Linked DNA regions of Lytechinus pictus. The protein of the gene in region 2 purifies or fractionates together with the protein of the main gene of each other region. This does not show direct contact. Links are inferred from orthologs where the notes say so. Each region holds a gene or a part of one and is shown on either strand. Other genes may lie near its edges.

What was found. The genes of interacting proteins can lie anywhere in the genome.
Region 1: the proteins of splicing factor 3A subunit 3-like (region 2) and PHD finger-like domain-containing protein 5A purify together in Homo sapiens (affinity purification with mass spectrometry; 3 studies listed by BioGRID and IntAct, with this or other methods). This does not show direct contact. The link is inferred for Lytechinus pictus from reciprocal best matches to the Homo sapiens genes SF3A3 and PHF5A.
Region 3: the proteins of splicing factor 3A subunit 3-like (region 2) and splicing factor 45-like purify together in Homo sapiens (affinity purification with mass spectrometry; 4 studies listed by BioGRID and IntAct, counting the BioPlex papers as one, with this or other methods). This does not show direct contact. The link is inferred for Lytechinus pictus from reciprocal best matches to the Homo sapiens genes SF3A3 and RBM17.

Annotation. Positions count from the first base shown.
Region 1 is NC_087254.1:7,084,591-7,091,920, forward strand, and holds the start of PHD finger-like domain-containing protein 5A, read right to left. Parts: upstream 3,144-7,330; 5' UTR 3,093-3,143; coding exon 3,041-3,092; intron 1-3,040.
Region 2 is NC_087248.1:31,929,017-31,937,292, forward strand, and holds the start of splicing factor 3A subunit 3-like, read right to left. Parts: upstream 3,089-8,276; coding exon 3,032-3,088; intron 2,730-3,031; coding exon 2,647-2,729; intron 2,271-2,646; coding exon 2,132-2,270; intron 1,682-2,131; coding exon 1,613-1,681; intron 526-1,612; coding exon 341-525; intron 1-340. UniProt on the Homo sapiens protein: Component of the 17S U2 SnRNP complex of the spliceosome, a large ribonucleoprotein complex that removes introns from transcribed pre-mRNAs.
Region 3 is NC_087247.1:38,896,444-38,904,258, forward strand, and holds the start of splicing factor 45-like, read right to left. Parts: upstream 3,144-7,815; 5' UTR 3,047-3,143; coding exon of another isoform or gene 2,994-3,046; 5' UTR 2,512-2,993; exon of another isoform or gene 2,508-2,511; intron 1-2,507. Other genes in the region: ribonuclease P protein subunit p14-like, read left to right, coding at 2,994-3,046, 4,189-4,350, 6,965-7,043. UniProt on the Homo sapiens protein: Splice factor that binds to the single-stranded 3'AG at the exon/intron border and promotes its utilization in the second catalytic step. Involved in the regulation of alternative splicing and the utilization of cryptic splice sites.

The sequences.
Region 1 (7,330 bases), on a different chromosome or scaffold from region 2:
TACCCCCCCCCCAAATAAAATGAAGGAATGAATGACAAAAAGAAAGCAAGACAGAAAGAAAGAAAGAAAGAAAGAAAGAAAGAAAGAACGAAAAAGAAAAAGAAAGAATAAAAGAAAGGAAGGAAGGAAGGAAAGAAGGAAGGAAGAAAAAAAAAAGGGTAAAGAAAGGATAGATGTGAAGGAAGGGAAAAAAAGAAAGAACTAAAGAAGGAAAGGAAGGAAGGAATAAAGAAGGAACAAAAATAAGAAAGAAAGAAAGAAAGAAAATAAAAAAGAAATGAAGGAAAGAAATGAAGCAAGCAATACAGAAAGAAAGAACAAATCCAGAAAGTAGTAAAGGAAAGAAAGAAGCAATAAAAAAGAAAGGGTAAAAAGAGAGATGGAAAGAAGGACAAAAGAAAGAAAGAGAGGAAGGAAGGATTGAAAGAAGGGAAAAAGGAATTAAGGAAGAAATAAAGGAAAGGTAAAATGATAGACAGAAGGAAAGAAATAAAGGAAGGAAGGGAAGGAAAGAAGCAAGCAATATAAGAAAATAAAAGGTAAAAGAAAAGATGAAAGGGAGAAAAAAAGAAAGACTGAGAGACAAAGAAAGGAAGGAATGAAAGAATAAAGGAGAGAAAGGAAGCAAGCAGTCAAAAAAGAAAAGGTAAAAGGACAGATTTAACAAAGGGAAAAAGGAAAGAACAAGACAGATAGAAGGAAGGAATGAATGTAAGAGAGAGAGGGCTGAAAGAAGGAAGAAATAAAAAAAACAAGAAAGGGTAAATAAATGATGGATGGATGGAAGGAAGAAAGAAACAAAGAAAGTAACAAAGAATGAAGGAAAGAAAAGGGTAAAAAGAAGGAAGGAACGAAAGGAAGAAGAGAAGAGATGAATATAGGATGGATGGACTCAAGAATTAAAGAAAGGAAAATATCACCCAAAAAAAGAAAGAAAGAAAGAAAGAGAGAGAGAAAAAAAAGAGAAATAGAGAAAAATATTTTTTGAAAGGATAGAAAGAATGTAAGAACAAATTAAAGGAAAAAAGGGGAAATTAAAAAAAGACAGTAACAAAAAAAATGAAAGAAGAGAGGGAAGAAACAAAAAAAGCTTAAAAAGAAAGAAGGAAAGAAAGATAGGAAGAAAACAGAGGAAGAAAGCTAAAACTATCAAATAATTTATCAGTTTCTTTTGGCTCAATTAAAATAGCTACGAAAGAAACCAAGTGTATCAACACACACATAAATGCATATGTGGGGCTATTATGTATTCAGACGATATCACCCGAAACCCGATCTGTTTGAACCAAAACAGAAGTGAAAATTTCTCCTTTTACTGCTTACAAATTACAGAGTTACTCCAATTTTTAGGAAATATGGACATTATAAGAGCCTTTCATGAGTATGAATCGTGAATTTTGACAGTTCTGTGAGAGATTTCTGCCAGAGTTTAGCCAAGCTTCCTTCGCGCAGCCAGTAGAGAATTTACCACGTGGGTTGTGTGGCTGGCTACATGTACACTGTATGCTACTTTAGTAACACTTACGTGCGATTCATTCTGTGTGTATTCTGTGTGTGAATGACATAATTTTACGGGGGGAAATGGTTTGCAGTGAATTTGACCATTTCTGGAAAAGTTATTGGCCCAACAATGGTTTTTATTACTGGTCATGTCGGACCCTTAAATCTTGCTATTTTTGGAAAAATTACTGGCCCGACAATGATATTTTTTACTGGTCATGTCGGACCAGTAAATCTTCCTATTTCTGAAAATCTACTAGCCCGACAGCGATTTTTACCGGTCTGGGACCGTCGGACCGGCGCTAGTGTCGAGCCCTGTATAAGTGAAAGTTTGATGAAAATCTGACTAAGGAAAACCCGAGAATTGAATTTTTAAAGTTTTGACTTAGTAAAATCACAAATGAGCAGCTCGTTTATATGTCGTATGATATAATTTCACATAAATGCTATTTCGATTATCTAAAAAAAGTTTAATTGATTTTAGTTGTGTGGCAGATATATCACCAGACAGGAAGACACATTTTATAACCTTTCTAATTCTGCAACCCCCAAAAATTATTCATCATATTCCAAAACAAAACTGAAATTTATGGAATCATATTACATGATTGGGATATCCTACTATGAAAAAAAATCATCAAACCTTCTCAATTGTTTTTTCTTTATTAAAACCAACTTGTCATCAAGATTATCAGGGTGAACTTTGTCTTTAAATACAAACTTCTTTTTAATTCATTTTTAAGAAAGTTCAGATTTGATGATCATTTTCTCAATGTCTCTGAGGCTAACCATTCACAATTTTGGGTTAAAATCATTTTGAGACCAAATCTTTCAAGGAATTTCCAGCAAGCTTAGAGTTTTTAGACAGGGCAAATTGTGTGAACTACAATACAAAAACAATAGCGAAAGAGAGGATTAAAAACACAACATCTTTATTTCATGTGTCATTGTTATCTTTTTCTTTTTCCCCTTCCACTGCTTTCTTCTAATTCCTTCTTTCTCTCTCATTCTCCTCCCTTTCATCTCATACTTTGTTTCTCGTTTCTTCCTTTCTTCCCCCCCCCCCCGTCCTTTTCTTTTCTTTCCTTTCTTCATTTCTCTTGTTTTTCTCTATTCCCCCCTTTTTTTCCCCTCTCCGTTTTAGCCTAGAGCTAGATCTAGCCTAGCTTTTTTTTTTTTTGGGGGGGGACAAGGCTTCTTCACCTCGGCCCCCTTCCTATGGACCCGCACCTGGATAGCAATCATACCATAGTCCACACCGCTTTATTTTTAGACTGGGACACGAAAGCTGAAACTGAAAGGACTGAACCTAGCGCTGCGCGCTGCCCCCACGCCGCCGCCGTAAACTGTTTATTAAACACACATCCAAAATAAAGGGATCGGACTGAAGTCATTTGAACGATGATTAAACGTTTCGGTTTCGATGGTTAATGTTGCATATTTGATAAATCTGGTAGATCTGTTGCTTTTTATTTACTACTTTGAAAATTGAAGAAGTCACCCATCCCTTGAAAATTCAAATTATCGATGGTTAACTTACCAACACCAGGCTGTTTGCGACAAAAAATTAAATCTGGATGATGCTTCGCCATGTTTCCAAATGTTGACTATATGATAATCGCCGCAGATGGCGCTAGCACTCCTTTTTGGAAGAACTTTCTTTTCCTCTTCTTTTTTCCCTTTCAGTTTATTTGGCAAGCATTAACTTCCACTCGTTCTGATTTATTTATTTTATATCTATTTCATTTTAATCATTTACCTATATGGTATTGAAAACTTTTATTGGAAAGAATTCCTTATGCAACAGCTATTCTAACCCTTCTTCTTCCGTTGAGTACAGTCCTCTTTACAGAGTATGGTATAGTCGTACTTGGCTGAGGCCGCAATCACAAAAACACATGACATTTGGTGCAGTTGAACAAAACTAAACTATAGTGCAAGTAAAAAGATAAAAGATAAAATCCTAACCCTAATATATATGTATTTTTCACTTTGGGTGGCTATCACAAATAACACCCCTTTTATCTATTTCATGTATTTTATTCCATTTTCAGGTACACATGGCATTATACTCATAACAATAGTCAATTTCAGTATATTGAAAATAATCATACAATATCCAACATACAATATCAGTGTGAAAAAAAAAAAGGGAAAGAACACCAGCTAATGCCTGGGGATTATCAAAAGACATCAAGTTTCTGATTAAAGACTCTCCTCATTAGCTGGTGCTAAAAAGAACACGAACATTAAAATACAGTTCAACAAATAACAAATAAAAATGACATTTGAAGACATAATTAATAAATGCAGGTGTAAATGAAAGAAAGGAAGGATGGACGGATGGACGAAAGAAAGAAAAAAAAAGCTGGATAAGAGTTAAAAAAAAGGAGAAATGGTGAAAGCAAAGAGAGGGTGAGAGTTTGAATGGAAAAAGAAAGAAATAGAATTAATGTAGAGGGATAATCCTTTTTTTTAATCTTTTTATTTTTTATTTTTAATATCTTTTTCATTTTCATTTTTTTTCTTATATCTTTCTAATTCCTGATTTAGTGTTTCTTTTCTAGTGTTTCTTTTTTTTCATATTGTGCTTCCCTCATTCTTTTCATTTTTTTTTTCAAAATCTAAAGGTCACTATTTATAATCTGAAATTGAGGTCATTATGCATAAAATGAAGATGGTTCATATATCAATTAAAATATATCGCATGATGAATATTGGACATCCACAAGCACACATTCACATTATCGCATATAAAAGATCAATCCCATTCCCTCAATGTGATTACTTTGTCCCATCGGGGCTTTTTATGCTATCAAGGCTACACTTACAATAAAAATCATACCATCTTATAGTGTTGTGATAATTATATGTTTATTTTATATGATCAATATGTACAAGATCAAATACATTTACAATACATTTACATTGTACTACCTACATATACTATGGATCTTCTCAAAAGGTAAATGACAGCATATACAAGAACATGGGAAGAAAACATTCATCCCTTTAAGAGTAAATAATATAAAAATATAATAGCTAATGTCCTTACTACTTGATTACAAACATGATTTAAGTATCTTCTTTTATAAATATTTAACATTTCCTTCTCTTTGAATAAAAAACATCATCATCATCGCCAGGATTTTGAAATTCAAACATTTTGAGGACAGCTCAAGAAGGATTGATTTTAGCGTTTCAGCATAGATACAGTGGCAAACTTTTATGCCTAGAAAGAGTTCTCTATAGGGATTGGGAGACAGTTTTCAGAAATTCAGACATGTGATGGTTGCTACCCTTGTAATATTTCCATAATACAGCCTTTTCTGTGCTGGCCTCAAAAACGAATTTTGCAACAGAATGTTTGAACACCCCAAATGACAGTATACTGGGGGCCGTTTCACAAAGCTGTTCATAAGTTAAGAGTGACTTTAAGAACGACTGGTGATCCTTTCTTGTGGTAAATGATATTCACCATTAAATGTTCATTGGTGATTATTTAGCGCGTAAGAAAGGATCATCAGTCGCTCTTAAAGTTACTCTTAACTCACGAACAGCTTTATGAAACATATCCACAGTGTATTATTATTATTTGTTTGGCGTCACCTGTGCCTGGGAGGCGAAAAGTGAACTGAATCACTATGACCCGCAGGTCTCTCCTGATATAACTGATTGGGGGGGAGTGCAGGTGGACCACTACACCATCTCTTCATAAGCTCAAAGGAACATCAAGATTTTTAACAAAGCAAATAAAAGCATCAGACTAACTTTTCCATGCTTTCAAAATACAAAACACTTTCAATGTACCTCTATTGTTTATGTAGAGTCCCTTGAATTTATTCGTTTGATACTATAGAGGCGTCCTAAATTTTGGAATGGGCACCTCTGTGCTTTTACTCATACAGATACCGAGACCCGTTCCCACTCTGCTTTGAGTTGTTAACCTCTACATTCATATTTTAAGTTAGCAGATAAGGAGAAACTTGTTTATTAATAGAAATATTCAGAAACTTAGTCATGACCAAGGCTGTATGCAGCATAGGGGGCAATTGCCCCCAGAAATTTTGAAAACTTACATTTTTTTTACCGGGAATTTCCACAAAATGATCTATAAGTGCACACAAAATCCTTCAATATCACTTTAGAAGATGTAAACATGCCCAAATGATAAGCTTGGTCACCTACAATCCCATAATTCTTTATGCGTCGTGTCCCACCAGGGAAAAAAAATAAATTATGTACGGCCTTGCTCAAATCTGGTCCTTTGAAACATCTCAAAAAAAGTTAAAGGCAATTTTTTTAGGTTCTATAGATAACACACACAAAACCCCCATCTTGAGGATACAAGTTATATTGACCTCAAACAAATTACTACATTATATGAAGAAGTTAATTTATGATATTAACAAATCAAATTTAGATACATGACCTTGATACGATACACCACATACATGGTTCCTGAACCCCATCATGAAAGAGGGGGGGGGGGGGGCAAACACTTACCATAATACTACATTCATAACATAAGAGGTTTGTGCCATGTTATCTCATGACACAATATCCCCCTTCCCTCTGCACAAGGGCTGACAAAAACAAAACACCTGTGATTACGATGGTGAACAAATATGGAATATGCAATAATAATCATGCTTTTTGTCATGCTTTGATAATTAAACATTAGCTGTCCCCCTTTCACGACTCATATTCTACACATAACACAGGATGCCACTCTCCAATCAATTAAAGACCTACATGGCATAACAATACATAAATACAGAAAGTAGCATATTAAAACAACATGCAACTAGATGACAGGCTTAGATACACTTGATAGTAACTTCTACGAATCTAGTATACTCAGGTGGTAACACTCAAAATTGATGAATTGCACATGTACAAGAAATGGAATTACAATTATTTTTCAAGGATAATAGAATACTAAGTAAACTAGGTGCTGGATGCATGCACAATAACTAAATCTAACTCCTGCTTAAAAAAGAGCAATACATAGATTCAAAGAACCACTAGCCTGAGCCAATGACCATTCTTCACCTGAAGAAAAAAGGGCAGGAACTGAAAAGAATAGAAAAACAAAATAGGAAAAAGGAGTCTACATGCAGTATTTGTAGTGTACTTCGACTTCCATGCATATCTTTTAATGTATTGGATGTGAAAAAATATTTAAATACATATTTTTTTTCTCATCTGTTGGTTAAACTAATCTCTCTAAAGGTCTCCGAACACCTTATGACTGGTCTATGATCCAATTTTGGAACAAATTGCATTTTTGTTTATTTTCTCAATAAGTGAATGATAAATAGGTATATACTTTCTTTAGGTTCAAAGTAAATGTAGAATACTAATATAATAACAATTTTGGATGATTGCAAGCCATTACTTTGGAGTTGAGGCCAAATTGGTTTCATATCAAGGCCGATCGAACGACTGTTAAGATGTCATTATGATTAAATATTGAATTTTCTTCTATTCTCATTAGGAAGGTAGCATTGTCACAGATTTTAAGCATAAGTATTCCTTCGAGGATTAAGAACTTTCCAAAGAAAGATGTTTCATGTCTCATTATTTGCATCTAATCTTACGTTTTATTCCAAAATGGGTCACAGACCAATCATAAGGTGTGCAGTGATCTTTACATATATGACTAATATGATACAGACAATATAACAGTTGAACATCCACACATGAGTTGATATAATACATCTTAAATACAATGAGTGGACATTACATATTCAAAATATCTTGTGCTAAAGTTGATGCAAGAACTTCAAAAGCCAGGTCATTCTTCATAGAGCTCTAACAAACTTTA
Region 2 (8,276 bases):
AGCAATTTCTCGCACGCAATTAACTGGTGTTCTCAGCAAAATTTGATTTATGCCCAATGCTAATGGGGGCAATCAGGGGGCAACAGGCACAAATCTTGTTAACTATGCTCGTTGCCCTTGGTAACCACATTTGTCTGTTGTTTTGCAGGCATGGTCAAATATATGACCCCACTTTTGACCAATCAGAGGAAAAGATTATTTGACATTCTTAAAGAAAAGAGGAAAAGATTATTTGACATTCTTAAAGAGAGGTTTATAATGCTCTTTATTAGTTATGATTTCTATATTTGGGTAATAAGTAGCAGTAGGCAAGCTACATAGGTTATCAATGGACACTTACTTCTTGCCAGCTTTAGTTCCTTTGCCTGGTTTACTCTTAGCAAACAAGGCCTGGTCTAGTTCATTAAGCTGGACCCCCTTGGTAGTGAAGAGACGCTGGGCTCGTTGTTCCAGGGTCCCACCACATTTCAGCCCAAGCGCCATCAGGGCTGACTTCAGACGATCAAGACCAAGCGAGGCCAACTCCTGTACGTGAAAGAGTAAAAGTTCAATGTAAGTCTCAAATTTGCTTATCCCATCACGTGACAGGTTAAATAGTACAACTCTCCACATATTTTGTACTCAATATGCTTTCTATGGTGATCCTCAGCTAGGCAATATTGCTTTAAAGTAACAGGTTTAGTAGTACAACTTTCCATATTTTCCTTCACAAAATTTCCCTTAATTAAGGTGTAGTTGGTCTCCTTTTTAGCACCACTTATGTCATGGGTAAATGTATTTGACACAATATAAGTTGAGTTCACCAAAAGTACAAGCAGAATCTTTAGATATACAGTAAAGGAGAACAGGAGAAACTATAAAATTTGAGTACAAAACATATTGAGATTTGTACTGTCATTATAAAGCAACTTTTCTTGGGTGAAAGAGCCGTTGCTCTGGCAACAGGCCATTTCCAACTTTGCCATTTTGAGGATTGCCAGAGGAAGTAAATCGAGTCTTCAAATTTCACAGGTTTTTCATTTTGTCACCGATTCTAAAGGAAATTTTCAGGGAAAAAATGCTTCCCTTTACTCTCTCCTTTCATTTAAAAGACTTACCCCAGGGATTTCCCCTTTCCTTAGAAAACTCACAGTAAATCACCAATTTGTCTAGACCAGCTTTGTCTTCAACTAGTTCAAGTACTAATAAATTTGGCTAATTACAATGCAAGCCCAATTACTGCATTGTCTTATTTTCAGTTAGGCTATATCCACTTTGTTCTTTATCCACTTAGTCTAATAACACTTAGCCTATATAGGGTTAGATGACCAGTCTATGAACCAAATTTTCAGTTTGAAAAAAGTAAAATATAAGTAGAATAAGTGGAAATTTATAAACCCACCAGAAATGGACTAAATGAGGATTAGATGAAATAGGTATTGGATCAAGTGCAGTGTAGACCAAATGGCAGTTAAATTGGTAGTAGATATAATGGGTTTAGCCTATGTTGTAATAGACTATCTAGGAAGTAAGCCAAATGATGGTTGAACCAAACTGTTATTAGGTAGTAAGATAAAGTTATGTTCAGCCCATGTAGACTATCTGAGAGGAAGCCAATCTAGGTGTAGATTACCTCTGATGATGAGAAGGCAGACAGGTCAAGATGAGCACCAGCATGGGTCATAGCACTCGCTGCTTCTTTCTGCATATAACAAATGAAAATAAACACACAAGACTAATTTGGACTTCAAGGACATCTATAATACAGGCCCCAATTTTCTAATACATAGATTTCTTGTTGTTTGGTGAGACATATAAAATGTATGATAAAGCAATGGTAAAAATCTCAGAAAAAAAGTCAGTTTCCATTTTACAGGCAAAGCTGAATGAAGATAAAGCATGAAAAACACACACTAAACACTGCAAACATGTATGATTAGCAGATCTTCCTGTCTTGTATCATAGTGGATATTGCTTTCATACTGGTACTCAAGATTTTCACTGCATTTCTTGTACTCCACTTCTTTGAGGGAGGACTGGAAAATTATGTTTCCTATGAACTTGGTTGTATACGACAACCAAGAGGATATTGAAATGACTTTCAACCACACCCAACTCTTTCTAAAACACCACAGCACATGAGATGACTCACCGGCCAGCCAGGGAAAGTACCTGCTTCCCACTGAATATCAAACTCTTTCTTGACCTTATCTAGTTCCTCTGCAAAGTCCAAGATTGGTTTGACCCTTGACGCATAGTCCTGCAGATAACTTAGTATTAGGTCCAGATACCTAGGATAGGACATAAAGAAAGATATAGTTAGAATGTTGGTAATCAGCATGGAAATATGGGCCTTCTTATATCATAATACAGATAAATAAGAGAAAGAGAGAGAGGGGGGAGGGGAGGGGTGGAAACTGGCAGGAATCCCTGGATATTGATAATGATCACATGGACAATGGAGAATCATTACCTAAATCAAGCTGGGTTTTTTACCATAGGATAGAGAAAGAAAAAGAAAGGGAGAGAAAGAAAAAGAAAGGGAGAGACAGAAGGATAATGAGTAAGAGAGCATGGATGAATGAGAAAAAAATGTATTTCTTCTTCATTTAGTTGGATTCTCTAGAATTCATTGAATGATTGTTACCACAACAGGAATAGACTTACCGTCTATATTCCGCATTCTTCTTATCCTTTGATATTTCAAAGAGCCGATCAGCAATGGAAAGGTAGGTCACATAGTCGACTTTCTATAGGATTGAAAGAAAGAGAAAACAGTTCAATATGAAATTACATTTCACATAATATTTGGGATTGGATTTGAATTGATATGTTTATTTACAGAGTTGCCAACTTTGTGCTACCAAAAAAAAAAGTAATCATGATGGCTAAATATAAGCAAATTCCAGCAAAGGTTGAATTTCCCACAAAAAAGGGAATTCATCAACATGAACCTGTCAGAAGCTTATTCAAACTCCCCTTTACTAGCCAGTGGAAGAGCCTATTTGGTTGAGTAACTCCCTAATTTGTTTATGAATAGACCAAACCTAACTGCTAGAGTAGGCAACCCCTCACTGTGTTTGATAGCTATTGTGTGTGTGCACTGCATAGGGCTATGCAAGCAAATGTTCAGCAGACTGCAGATAAGCAAGCATAGGGTGCAGCAGCATCTTTCAGCAGCTCCTTGGCTGGGAAAGCCAGCACTTTGGTGCCACGCCTTTGATATTTGGAGTGGCATGTAAGCCAGCAGTGGTTGGTACACTGGTTGGAATTCAAGGTCCAGACTGTAAGTTGATGTTTTATTTTACCATATTATTATGAAAAGCTATGATTATATTTAGAACCCGTGATGTTGATTTGTATTACAATTAAACATGATGAAGGATAATTATGCTATTTGAAGACTAAGATATGAGACATACATCTACATGTAAGATATCAGATATTATATTTATATGTCTAACACATGTCATGAAATGATTGTTTTAGGAAGTGACCTAATTATCTAATATTTAAAACTTGAAAGGTATTTTGTCCTTTATCAAGACAATTAGTCTATTTATACAAATGTCGAAGCTTCTGTTTAAACACTTGTTAACTACGAGAGTGGTGACTTTTATATGAGTAAGGACACTGCTATTAGGTACTCGGAAGCAAGTATAGAAAGTTCATTGACCTGCTTGAATGTACTCAGCATTTATTCTATTATAAACCATTTGAATAACAGAAATGATATGAACTGTAGGCTGTTAATCCTTGCGTATTCTCTTCCAGACGGCCGTTTTCTCGATGATTTATCCACGTCTCTTGACGTTTTACCACGTGTCTCCACGTTTCCATGTATTGCCATGGTTCTCCTCGTTTGGCAATGTTTAGCTACGTCCTACGTCTTGTGACGTTCACGGCCTCTTCGACGTCTTACGACGTTCTACGATTGCTACGTTCTCTACGGAAAGTCCCGAGTTCTTGGTTAGTTCATCGCATTCGCGAGTTCATCCCCATATCGTCTTCCGTTCGGCACATTTCTTCAGCATCGCATGATCAATTTGGACATTGATGCATTTGACGTCTGACAACGGGTGATGAGTGAAGACTTGAGAAACTGAACTTTCCCCACAGTCGGTATACGTATACTATATAGATTGTTTTCATAAACACAGAGTTTATGCTCTTTCCTTGAATAGGAATTGCAGGTCACAATACTAACTTAATTTGTCTAGATTATACTAATTTGAATTGAGACAGATTGTTCCAAAACGTTGTTGATACTGTTTTCTTGATCTTTATGTTTTGACAGCTTGTGAGCCTCGATAATGGCAATATTGATATATATAATAAATTCATTTTGATCGAAATGTACAATTTCATCTTATAGTTTAATTCTTGGGTGGTCAAACAGCCTGATTAGAATAATAAGTCAAGTTCACATCAAACACAATGTGACAATTTGGGGGCTTGTCCGAGTTGTTTGGGCCATAACATACCCTGTTGGTTGAATTAATTGGTATAGGATTTGATTGTCTAGGATTTTCTGTTTGTCTTTATTGGTCAACAGACATAAGATTTAATTGGTCGATGACATGACCCCTCGCAAAATTTGTGATACGTACTTATGAACAAATTTCTGTTCAATTTTCAGAATTTAGCCGAAATCCTTCAAGTTCTTTGTGTCAGTGGGCCAAGGACCATCCAGTGCACCAACACTCCTGCTAGCGACGAGCATGCGCAGCAAGGTCAAGTGCGAGTAAAGGTTTATTTTGGATTGTCGGTGAGTTGCAAAATTGAATATGTATGAAAATTGTGCCACACAAGTTATCAAACACCCCTATAAGAAATAGTTGATATAGTATATAGTTACTCAATAGTTCTTTGACTTAGGTAGGGGTAGTTTGAACATTTAAACATGAGTACTAAGTGGTTTGAGATTGGTAAGGAATTAGGTCTGTCAGGGCCTGAGCTTCTTTCATTTGTAGGAGAAAGGGAACAATTAGAGCGAGAGGAACGTAGGGCTAATAGAGAAGTTAGGAAAGAGGAAGAAAAAATTCTGGAGATGAAACTTGAATTGGCTCGTGTTCAGAGCCAGAGTAGGTCTGATAGTATGATTGATAATGGTAATGGAAACGGTCGCACTTTGGCACCAACCCCTAAACTCCCTCATTTTGTTGAAGGAAAAGATAATATGGACGCATATCTCAAAAGGTTTGAGAAGTATGCGGAGGTTCAGTCATGGCCAAGAAGTAGTTGGGCCATTAGTTTAAGTGCACTCTTGCAAGGTAAGGCACTCGATGTGTATTCAAGACTTCCAGCAGATAAAGCTGAAGATTATGATGCCCTCAAGGAAGCATTGTTGTTAAGGTTTGAACTTACTTGTGACGATTTTCGTCAAAAGTTCAGGTATTCCAATCCACAGTCCGGGGAGACCCCAAGTCAATTTGTTGTTCGGTTAGAACATTATTTGAGTCGTTGGATTGATCTGTCAGGTACGCAACGTACATTCGATGGTGTAGTAGAAATGTTACTCAAACAACAACTGGTTGAGAGAGGTGGAACCTCTCTAGGTCTTTTTCTGAAGGAAAGGAAACCTAAGAATATTTCAGAGATGACTAGTCTAGCAGACACGTATGTAGAGGCCCATAGTGGTCACTTTGGAATTACCAGAAAAGATAAGAATGATAAGAAGGGTAAGCCACAAGGTAGTAGGTACCCTCAGTCAGACAGTCCCGACCTTTCGTTTGAGGACGCGCACGCTTATTTACGACGTTAGTTGATTTTGGAAGAGACTTTTTGGGCCCGTCATCATGGGTGTAAAACTCTGTACTACAATGCAAATTGTGTGACATGAGATTTTTTTTTCGTTTCGCATCTGCGACGGAAACATTCAATATGCGTTTCGTGTGCAAAATTTTGGTTGCTACTATGGTAACAGCGATATATCCGATTGAGGACGACTTTCCAAAGCCACATTTGACTCCTCCTAGAGCTCGAGAGGCCGCCCGGGGGCCCACTCCCATTGATTAGTGGATACCAGGAGCGACCACGCGTAAAAGGGGACAGAGTGGGCAGGTACGTTACGTATAGGCCTATGTAACGTTATAAGGGTGTCAAAACGATGTTTAAAATGCTGACAAAAAAGGGATATATACCCAATACTTGTAGGGTTTCACAAGCCAAATTCTTGTTCAGAGATGCATTTTCATAATCTGGAAAAGAATTACTTCCCAGCTTGTTTAGGGTACTTTTCGAAACCCCATGGTCGTGCCTGGTATCCACTCATCAATGGAAGTGGTCCCCCCGGAATTTGAATCTAATCCCCCATTTCTGGGGGAAGTAAAACATAATGCCCATTACATCGTGTGCGAGAGGCATATCGTTTGTGTAGAAGGAGTAAACAAAAGAAACAAAAGAAACAAAAAGAAACGATCGAGTTCAAACGTATTGCATATGGTGTGCACATATCAACTCACGCGAAATGTTCGGCTGGAGACTGGAGAGGTTGATCTGACCCATGAAATCAATTGCCAGTGATACACCAATAATCCACATTAAATCTAATATCGATTCGATGGACTGTAATGATCTATATCTAAGCCTTCATTCAGTAAGTTTTTCCTCACTCAATATGTACTCGATTTGTTTGAAAAACCATTTTCTTATCCATGTCATAATCTATTTTAGGTCTGCATTTCGAATATCTCCAGCCATTAGTCGTAATATACATGCATGTACATGTATGGTGCGGGTGTCGCGGAAAAGGATTTTGCACACGAAAAGCAGATCTGTAGGGCCTGTAACCCCCCTGTAACACAAAGCTTGGCATTGATTGTAGAGCAGTTTTCTACGTTTGATTCTATTGACTATAATGCACAATCAATCTTAAAAATCAAGTGTATTATTAAGCGTTAACTTTTGTGTTAGGGGACCCTAATATTAGCGTCCGTGAGGATTGCGAAAGGTCCCAAGTGAAGTTAAGACAAGTCCGGGGATTTTAAGAAATCCGCCTCCTGAACGGAAAAGAATTGGTCCATGTTTCATCTGTAACAAGATGGGGCATTTAGCAGCTAAATGTAACTCCAAATTACAAGGTGCAAGTCTAATTTGTAGTACTGATCATTCAAAAAGTAGTAGCCAAAATCAGAAAAGAGAATCAACTCAGTATGAAACAAATAGTAAAGTGGCAGTTGATAGTAGGTCAGATTCTTGTGCAACTTGTTCGCTTGTTAGTCCAGATATGGAAGGAAGTGAGACACTTGGACTTTTGTTAATGTCTTTAGTTAGTGAGAAAGATAAGTCAGAGATAGTTACTAGAGATACCTTACAAAAATCACTGATGATGTGTGCTGCATGTCAGCGTCGTTGGCATGGTAAGTTAACTGTTGTTGAAGGTAGGTTTGGATCACACAAGGTTGATGTCCTTTATGATTCAGGATGTTCCGGTGTTGCGGTTAAGAAAAGTCTTGTGAGGTCAGATCAACTTACTGGTAAATATAGACAATGTGTTTTGATAGATCACTCTCTGTAGGTTTCCTACTGCTAATGTTCATATTAGCTCCCCTTTGTTTGTAGGTACAATAGAAGCACTGTGTATAGAGACACCAGTTTTTGACGTTATAATAGGGGACATTGAAGGTGTCCATTCCATGAGTAATCCCCATCCAGATTGGAAAAAAGTAGTTAACGGTGATGATAGTACTCAAGGTCATGTTAGGAATGTAGATTCCAATGGTAACTCTAATTCTGAAGATGAGAGAGTTGAAGTTAATTGTGATGATGGTACTAATGTAGGCCTGGCTGTACAGACAAGGTCTCAGAGTCGAGAAGCTCGACGCCCCCAGCGGCCCTTGAAAGTTCCATCTCAGATCCCAGACGTTTCTCCTGAAGAAATTAGAAGAGAAAGTGCAAAGGATCCTAGTTTGAAGAAAGCGAGAGAACTCGCTCAAGTTAGTTTGTCAGATGATGATAGGAAGAACACTTATTTCGTAGTAGATGATGGACTGTTGTACAGAATGTTTCAACCTAAGAATGAGAGAGGTAATTATGTGAATCAATTGGTAGTCCCTCAGCTCTTTAGGAAAGTTGTGTTGTCACTTGCTCATGAAGGAATAATGAGTGGGCATCAAGGCATAGGCAAAACCACTGAGAAGATTTTAACTTGTTTCATCTGGCCCGGCATTCATGCCGATGTTACTCGTTTCTGTCGCTCTTGTGACATTTGTCAGCGGACAGTACCAAAGGGAAGAGTTCCCAAAGTGCCACTTGGCAAAATGCCCGTAATAGATATTCCATTTCTCAGAGTGGCT
Region 3 (7,815 bases), on a different chromosome or scaffold from region 2:
TACACTTCACAATTTCAAATAGAGTAGAAAAAGGGACAGATGTCACAAAATGTCTCGCGAAGTAATGAGCTCATTAAATATGCAGAGAATATAGACTTCGAAGGAGTGGAAGTGACGGTAAGAAATAAGATTGGAAAATGCAGAGAAATAATTAAGTATAAGTTGATCCTCCACAAGATTTGATTCAATCCTCACTAGCAGCTGGATGAGATGGTCAGCATGAGTGGACAGGACGAAGGCAGAGAGTAGAGTGATGATGTGGTAGAGAAAACAAGTTGTTTTTACCAACATCAGAAAAGATGAGACAAAGAAATAAGCGTCAAAAAGGGAGGCAAAACAAAGTTGAAAAGAACAAAGAAGAGAGAAGCAGACTGTGAGAAAAGCAAACATGCAAGCATCTTGTAGTGATGTTGTATACCTGCAAGTTCATTGTAATAAACAAGGAACAATGAAAGGATGTTTGCTACAAGTCTAGGAACAAAAGAAAGGTTGTTTCTCAATATAAGAATGTGTTTGCCAAGTAGATTTGGGCAGGAAATGGTCTTGCTCTGTGAATGTACAGTATTGTAGTACATACACATGGCGTGAACAAGTGAGAATATATGAAATTTGAAATAAAAGAAAGAATTTATATACATATACAGAATGTTGAAATATAAATGAAAATATATACAAGGAAAGAATACATAGATGTAGATATATAAAAAGATATAGTCAAGTCACTACAGTAGCTCCCCCCTAGATTTGTACCGAATAGAAATGTAGTAACAAATCGACAAGGGAAAGTAAAAGGGAACTTGGCTATATAAAACAAGAAAATAAAGGAGTGGAAACATCCGTGAATTTTGAGAAATGTTTCAACCGTCTCCGAAAAATTGAACGTACTTGGCAGGAAACCTGACATGGCGACCAGAACGGGTCTTACGAATTTCGGGAGGCATATGCTTGTCATCAGGATCCCCTGCCAAGTCCGTGGAGTTGGATTGTTGATGAACTTGGTCAGGTGGATCTTGATGATGAAATGAAGGAGCGGTAGCCTCCTGCTCGATGAAAGCCGGTTTCAGTCTGTCGACACTGACATTTTCATGTTTACCATTATAATCGATGGTAAAATACTTGTCAGTGCGACGGATGACTCGGAAGGGTCCTCTGTATGGAGGTTGCAATGGCTTTGTAACAGCATCATCTCGTAGAAAGATGTGAGATGAAGAATGCAGTTCAGGAAGTAGATTTGGGCAGGAAATGGTCTTGCTCTGTGAATGTACAGTATTGTAGTACATACACATGGCGTGAACAAGTGAGAATATATGAAATTTGAAATAAAAGAAAGAATTTATATACATATACAGAATGTTGAAATATAAATGAAAATATATATGATGGGGTGTCCAAACTTCGCGCACTTTTCAAAAATATTTATCAGGCTTAAATTTGTTCACAAAATATTCATAATTTATACAAAACCAATTCAAGAAATAGTTACCACATTTACGGCAAGATCGTAAACTGCAAAATCATGGACGAAAATGTAAAGTAGGTCAAGGGGATTCGCCGGTATCGCGATCTCAAAATTCTATTCTGATCGGCGAATGCGCGCTGTGCTGGAAAACCGTTCAGAAAAGTGTGACCTAACTTCGCGGAGCAAAGTTTTTGTGGACATTTAAACAAAAACTCAAGCTCAAAAAATGAAATATTTATATCAGATTGATGGCAAAATGCTATAGAATCGGTTAGTACCACATTTAACTCACATTTTTGATAATTTCTGCTTGCAAAATGGTGATATCGTGATGCTTGTTGAAAATATCAGATTTCTTCAAAACGGGCGCCAACAGTGACAAATTTGCCGATCTTTTGCCAATATTTTCATGAATACTGAACTCATCCTAAAGAAACTTACACCAAAGGGTAATTTTAGGTCGCTTTTCACGTTGATGATGTCAGATTTTAAGAATATTGGCTAGTTTTTTAGATAATGACCGTCCGCGAAGTATGGACACACGCGAAGTTTGGACTCACTGCCATACAAGGAAAGAATACATAGATGTAGATATATAAAAAGATATAGTCAAGTCACTACAGATGTTTGATCGAATTAAAGCTGTCGAACACCGGTTTTCAAAATAATCGATATGAGTGACTCAGGCTTAACGCTTAGTAAAAATAAATTTTGTGACCTCTAACGTTATACTAACCTCGTACTAGTGTGAGTGGGCCGCCTCTGGCTCTCCAGTTCATTTCCCATCACCGCGCCGTCTACTCTTTATGACTTGCCATTTACTCTTACTGCAATCTTGTTATGAAACGCTATATGTTTACACTGACGAGCGCACTCAATTGGAGTCGGCATATGAAAGTTTAGTTCTATTAAACTTGGCCCTTGGGCGTAGCGTACCGGTATCTTTAGGCAAAGTAAATGTCTTTCTTTAACGTTCTATACATATTCACACACCTAGATAACTGAGGTTTGACATAAATATTAAAATATAATTGGATGTAAAGCATACATACCGGTAATTTGGTTGATCTTGAAGACGCTTTCGAGCAACTCGTTCGTGCTCGCCGCTAGCGCCGCCTGGACTGAGATCCAATTTTTTGTGATGTGTCCTTAATTATTCAAACAAAACTTCAAAAAAAACAGAATTTTGGGTTCCAGAATTTTACATTTATTTTTGCATCTTATTACATTTTGAAATATAAAACAAAATATTTTGATATTATTCAGGTAAAATTCATTTTTAAATTATGAAGAACAATATCATTATATAGCCTTTATAGGGGAAGCAGCAGATCAGACACGACGGAATGTAGAGCTAGCTCTCGATCTCGCTAGCTCTCTCCAGCTCCCAGGCCCAGCAGCCAATATATATCGGCTCGACCGTCTAGCTGTGACGACTGTGACATGCAGGCGCTAGGCACTGGCACTGCAATGCCAAAGGCTAAGCTATTTAAAGTCACGAGCTAGCTGACTTTCGTTAGAAAGATCTGAGTTAATGGTGATTCAAATCATGGATTGTAATGCATACATTTATTTGAGTGTCAAATTGTGAGTAGACGAGATATTATTTCATTTCAAGTGGAGGGGACATATTGAGAGATTCTGAGTAGGCCAAGTAACGAGTAACGGCACGTTATTTAATTTAAGTCTACACTATGTACTAACGTAGAACTGAACTTTAGCGTCTTCATTTCTCTGCTTCTATCTTTTGATGACCAATATTTTCTCATTTTTTCTTCAAGTTAGTATCAATACCCTTTCATTTTGACAAACTTTCAGTCTTTCAGTGAAAGACGTCGACACGCATGTCAAAATCATGTGTTCAGATCAGCTGCCTGAAAATGAAGCTGACGTCAATTTTAAAGTCTTTGTTACTTAAAAATTAAAATCCAATCATTACTCAAAAGTCAATACTTTGATTTGATGTGGAAGAGAATTATTTCCATTAGGCCTGTGCTTCATGCTCAACAAATTTTAGCATTATCACATCCTTTTTATGAGCCTTTATCCCATGAGTAATCCTATTGTGTGTTGACGTGTCTCATGAGGCTGGGCCGTTTTTCTCCCATGTACTGTATCCCACTGCTGCCACCAAATGTGGAATGTGAAAATGAGCTGTCTGCAGTTGTAGTGCAAAAATAGATAAAAATTTCTAAATAAAGCTAGGGGATTTTATCCAATGCTTTCTCTATTGGCCTACAATACATCAGGGCCCTGATTTTTAAATAGCGGGTGCTGACATAGACAGGAATAACCGTCGTTTCTGGGGATTTATTCAACAATTTCTGACATTTTACTGTAATCCCCATGGAGCCAACGTAGTTCAGCGGAACAACCAAAATACAGAGACTGAAGCTTTTGGTCTAGTGCTGACACTGCTGTACTGGGCCGGGGGGGGGGGGGGTTCAGGGGGTGTCTTTAGAAAAAAAAAGTTGAAAACCAAACTAAAGGGGTTATTTAAAAAAAAATTTTTGCTTGCTTGTCAGCCTGAATTCCATGGGGTTCTGCATATGGTAAATAGCTGCAGCCCCCCCCCCCTGGAAAAATGTGGGTGCTTCAGCACCCAACTTCCCAGGGCTATGCTGTATATTTTACATTTCTATTCATTGTTATTGAATTGCATATGAACAAATATTATGATAGCAGAATATGTTGGGGTTTTAATTTGTTTCTTACTTTTTCATCGACAGAGAGTTTGAAAGCTCACCACCAGTTATCGAGGAGAGGATGTTTGAGGTAATTGTGAGTTTGGCATTAAAGCAACTTCATGGTGACGTTGGAGTGGCAATTCTGGTAGATCTTTTGATGTACGATCCTGAAAATATTCAGGGAATCCTTAAAGTTCGTCAGAGGTGTGTATCTAATTATTTACCATTTTCTTAGAGAAACCAAGAAATGTCCAAGAATATCCCTATCCCCCTCCCCAACTACCCCCCCCCCCCAAAACAATTCAACCTGGCCAAGTTGCACTGGTAGAATTCAACACATTCAGTCGTCCACTAATCCCAAACTATGTGCATGCATATCTGGAATGTGTCATGTAGAGGTCAATTTGGATAGTGACAGTGGACGTCAGTGGTCTGGCTCAACCAGCCCAGAAAAAATCTGACCACCACTCACAAAAAACACTGCTCCCATCCACCACTGATTTCAAATGAAATAATTGCACACCTGTTCATATCCATCTTTAATCTTGTTATTTTTGCATAATTTACATTATTTATTCTTACATGTGATATTAGTAGGCCTATATTTTCAAAGAGTTGTTAATTTAAGATTGTTATTACATTGATGTTCCTTCACTTTTGGCTTTAAATAAGACTGCTAACTCAGCCTGAAAAAAACTTTGTAATGCTGTGAAATAGCGACCACCACTAAGATGGGTCTAGCTAGAACACTGATTCACATTCACAAACAGAAATTTGTATGAGGAAAATTATATATTTGAATGTCTGCTGGGGAGTTCATATTCCAAAATGCCATTTTGTATTAAATCTAATCAAAGTATCTACATTAACTTTGTGTGGATTCTGGGTTTTTTAGTTATAAATATCTCGTCATGAATTTGAGTTTATTTTAATAATAAAAATTCATCATGCTCAGAAAGTTTTGTCTTTAAAGCTAAATGATAGTAGTTGCAGTAAAACACTAATTTCGTGAGAAAGTCTGTAAAACCAAGGTTAAGTATGACTATATCACCGTGGATCTAGATCTGGTACAGTTACATAAACTGAACTTTGTGAAATCATAAAATCTAAGCTGAAATACGATCACACTGAAGATCGCCAACACAGATAGGCACACGTGGGACAGTGTATTATTATTGCTGGAATAAAGACCCGACGGAAGTGACAGAATCCGCGCTTATTTTGCTAATTTCATAGCAATTACACAATTTCTTCCAGAATCCTTTGGCACATATTTTTTATTCATACAAACAGACACTTAGGTGGTCATTATATTAGATTCTGTAAAAAGTCATTTTGAGATCGTCACCAGAACTGGAATTTATCTTTAAGCTTTGACATCATAATATTAATAAGATGATAAATCATCCTCATGCACCTTACACCAATATACAAACATGTACCAAGTGCATTGGAGGTGTAGTGCTGGCACATACTTTATTTAATTCTATTAACTTTACCTGGGATTTCCAAGAAGTTCCCATTCACTTATAAAACTAATTGGTATGTTATTATAAAATACTGTATATGTATCAATAGTTTTCATTTATTTTAAGTACCCCATTCCTGCCCCTAAAAGGAAGTACATGTATATACTGCAACTCAAACTGAAGTTTGTTTATTAACCATTCCTATAATCATATATTCCATCTTCACTACGTTTTTGTCTGTTTATTTAATGGTTTATTACATTGTCAATGGTTCACAGTCCCGGGGGGGGGGGGGGCCACTTCCATTCACGAGTGGATACCATGCGCGACCATGGGGTCTCGAAAAGCACCCTAAACACGTAATTTCCATATTCTGAAAATGCACCCCTTGACAAGTATTGGCGTGTGAAACCCTACCCTAACAAGTATTGGAAACAAAAACGATACTCTTGGCAAATATTCCCTGAAATGAACCCCTAAATAAATACAGGAATGTTTTATTGTTACGAGTCCTTCGGTCGTCGGCTTTACCTTATTTTGGTTTAGTACGACCCCACCTTCTACACCTCGCGCAAATCGGACTCTAAACACGAAGTGTTGGGTCAAAATGGACATCCTTTATAAAACATTTTAATTTTGTTTTATCATTCCCGCAAATTCGACCCTAAACACGTAATTTTCCTAGCGAAATAGACACCCTTTTTTCATTATTTTTGTGTTTTTGACAACCTTATCACGTTACGTACGTAACGTGCCCTATCGTGAAAAGGACATCCTTTTTACGTGTTTTTTTGGTCGCGCATGGTATCCACTCGTCAATGTAAGTGGCCCCCCGGGTTCACAGTACTACTATGAAAATGAAATCATCTTCAAATTCCCAAAACACACATGACATCTTTTAAAAAACAATAAACATACAGCATGTTAAACAAATTGTATACAAAATGCAATAACCATAAATGAATCAATTTTTTTCTGAATTAATTTGTATCACTGTCATTCAATGTCTTTTATTGTAAATGTCATAATTATCTTAATGTTTGAAAGTTTTTAAAGTGAACTGATTGTATTCACATGTTTCTTATTTTCCTATACGGTGGCACAGAAAGGCTGCATTTAACACCCATCATGAATTATTCTGGAAAGGAGTATGGGTCTGGTCTTCTATAAAGGACCTACATACTAGTATATTTTCATTTTCAAGGTTTTGGTACCAATAATTCTAGGAATAATTTTGTTCTGTGAAGCTTTCCTCTGCTTTCTATTTTCGTTAAAATCAAATCAAACATTCAAAGGATACGCATGTAGCTATGCAGTACATTAACTTAACATGATTTATTTTTATTCAGTGATTTGGTCAAGCTCTGGAGTGCCTTGACACTTTATGGATGTTTTGAAGACCAGAGATGTGCTTTCATTGCACGAAAGGTGAGTCATCTGCACAGTTGCCTTTGTACTCTTAGGTTACATATATACATGTTTTTATTGTCTCGCCTGCATAGCAGAGCGAGACTATAGGCGCCGCTTTTCCGACGGCGGCGGCGTCGTCAACATTGAAATCTTAACCAAGTTTTTGAAATGTCATCATAACTTAGTAAGTATATGGATCTAGTTCATGAAACTTGGACATAAGGGTAATCAAATATGACTGAATATCCTGCCTGAGTTTCAGGTCACATGACCAAGGTCAAAGGTCATTTAGGGTCAATGAACTTAGACCATGTCGGAGGAATCAATTTCAAAATATTAAGGTCCAAGGTTAAATTTTGAAATGTCATAACTTTGAAGGTATATGGACCTAGTTCAGAAAACTTAGACATAAGAGTAATAGTGTATCACTGAAGATCCTGTCTGAGTTTCAGGTCACATGATTAAGGTCAAAGGTCACTTAGGGTCCACAAACTTTGGTAATGGGGGGTATTTGTGGAATTGCCATCATAACTTTAAGTCTATGGATCTAGTTCATGAAACATGGACATAAGAGCAGCAATGTATCCCTGAATACCCTGTGTGCATTTCAGGAACATGGCCAAGATCAAAGGTCAAACTTTGGCCACGTTGGGGTTGTTTGAGGAGGAATTGTCATCATAACTTTAAAATTGTATGGATCTAGTTCATGAAACATGGACATAAGAGCAACCATGTATCCCTGAATATCATGAGTTTCAGGTCACATGAGGAAGGTCAAAGGTCACTTACG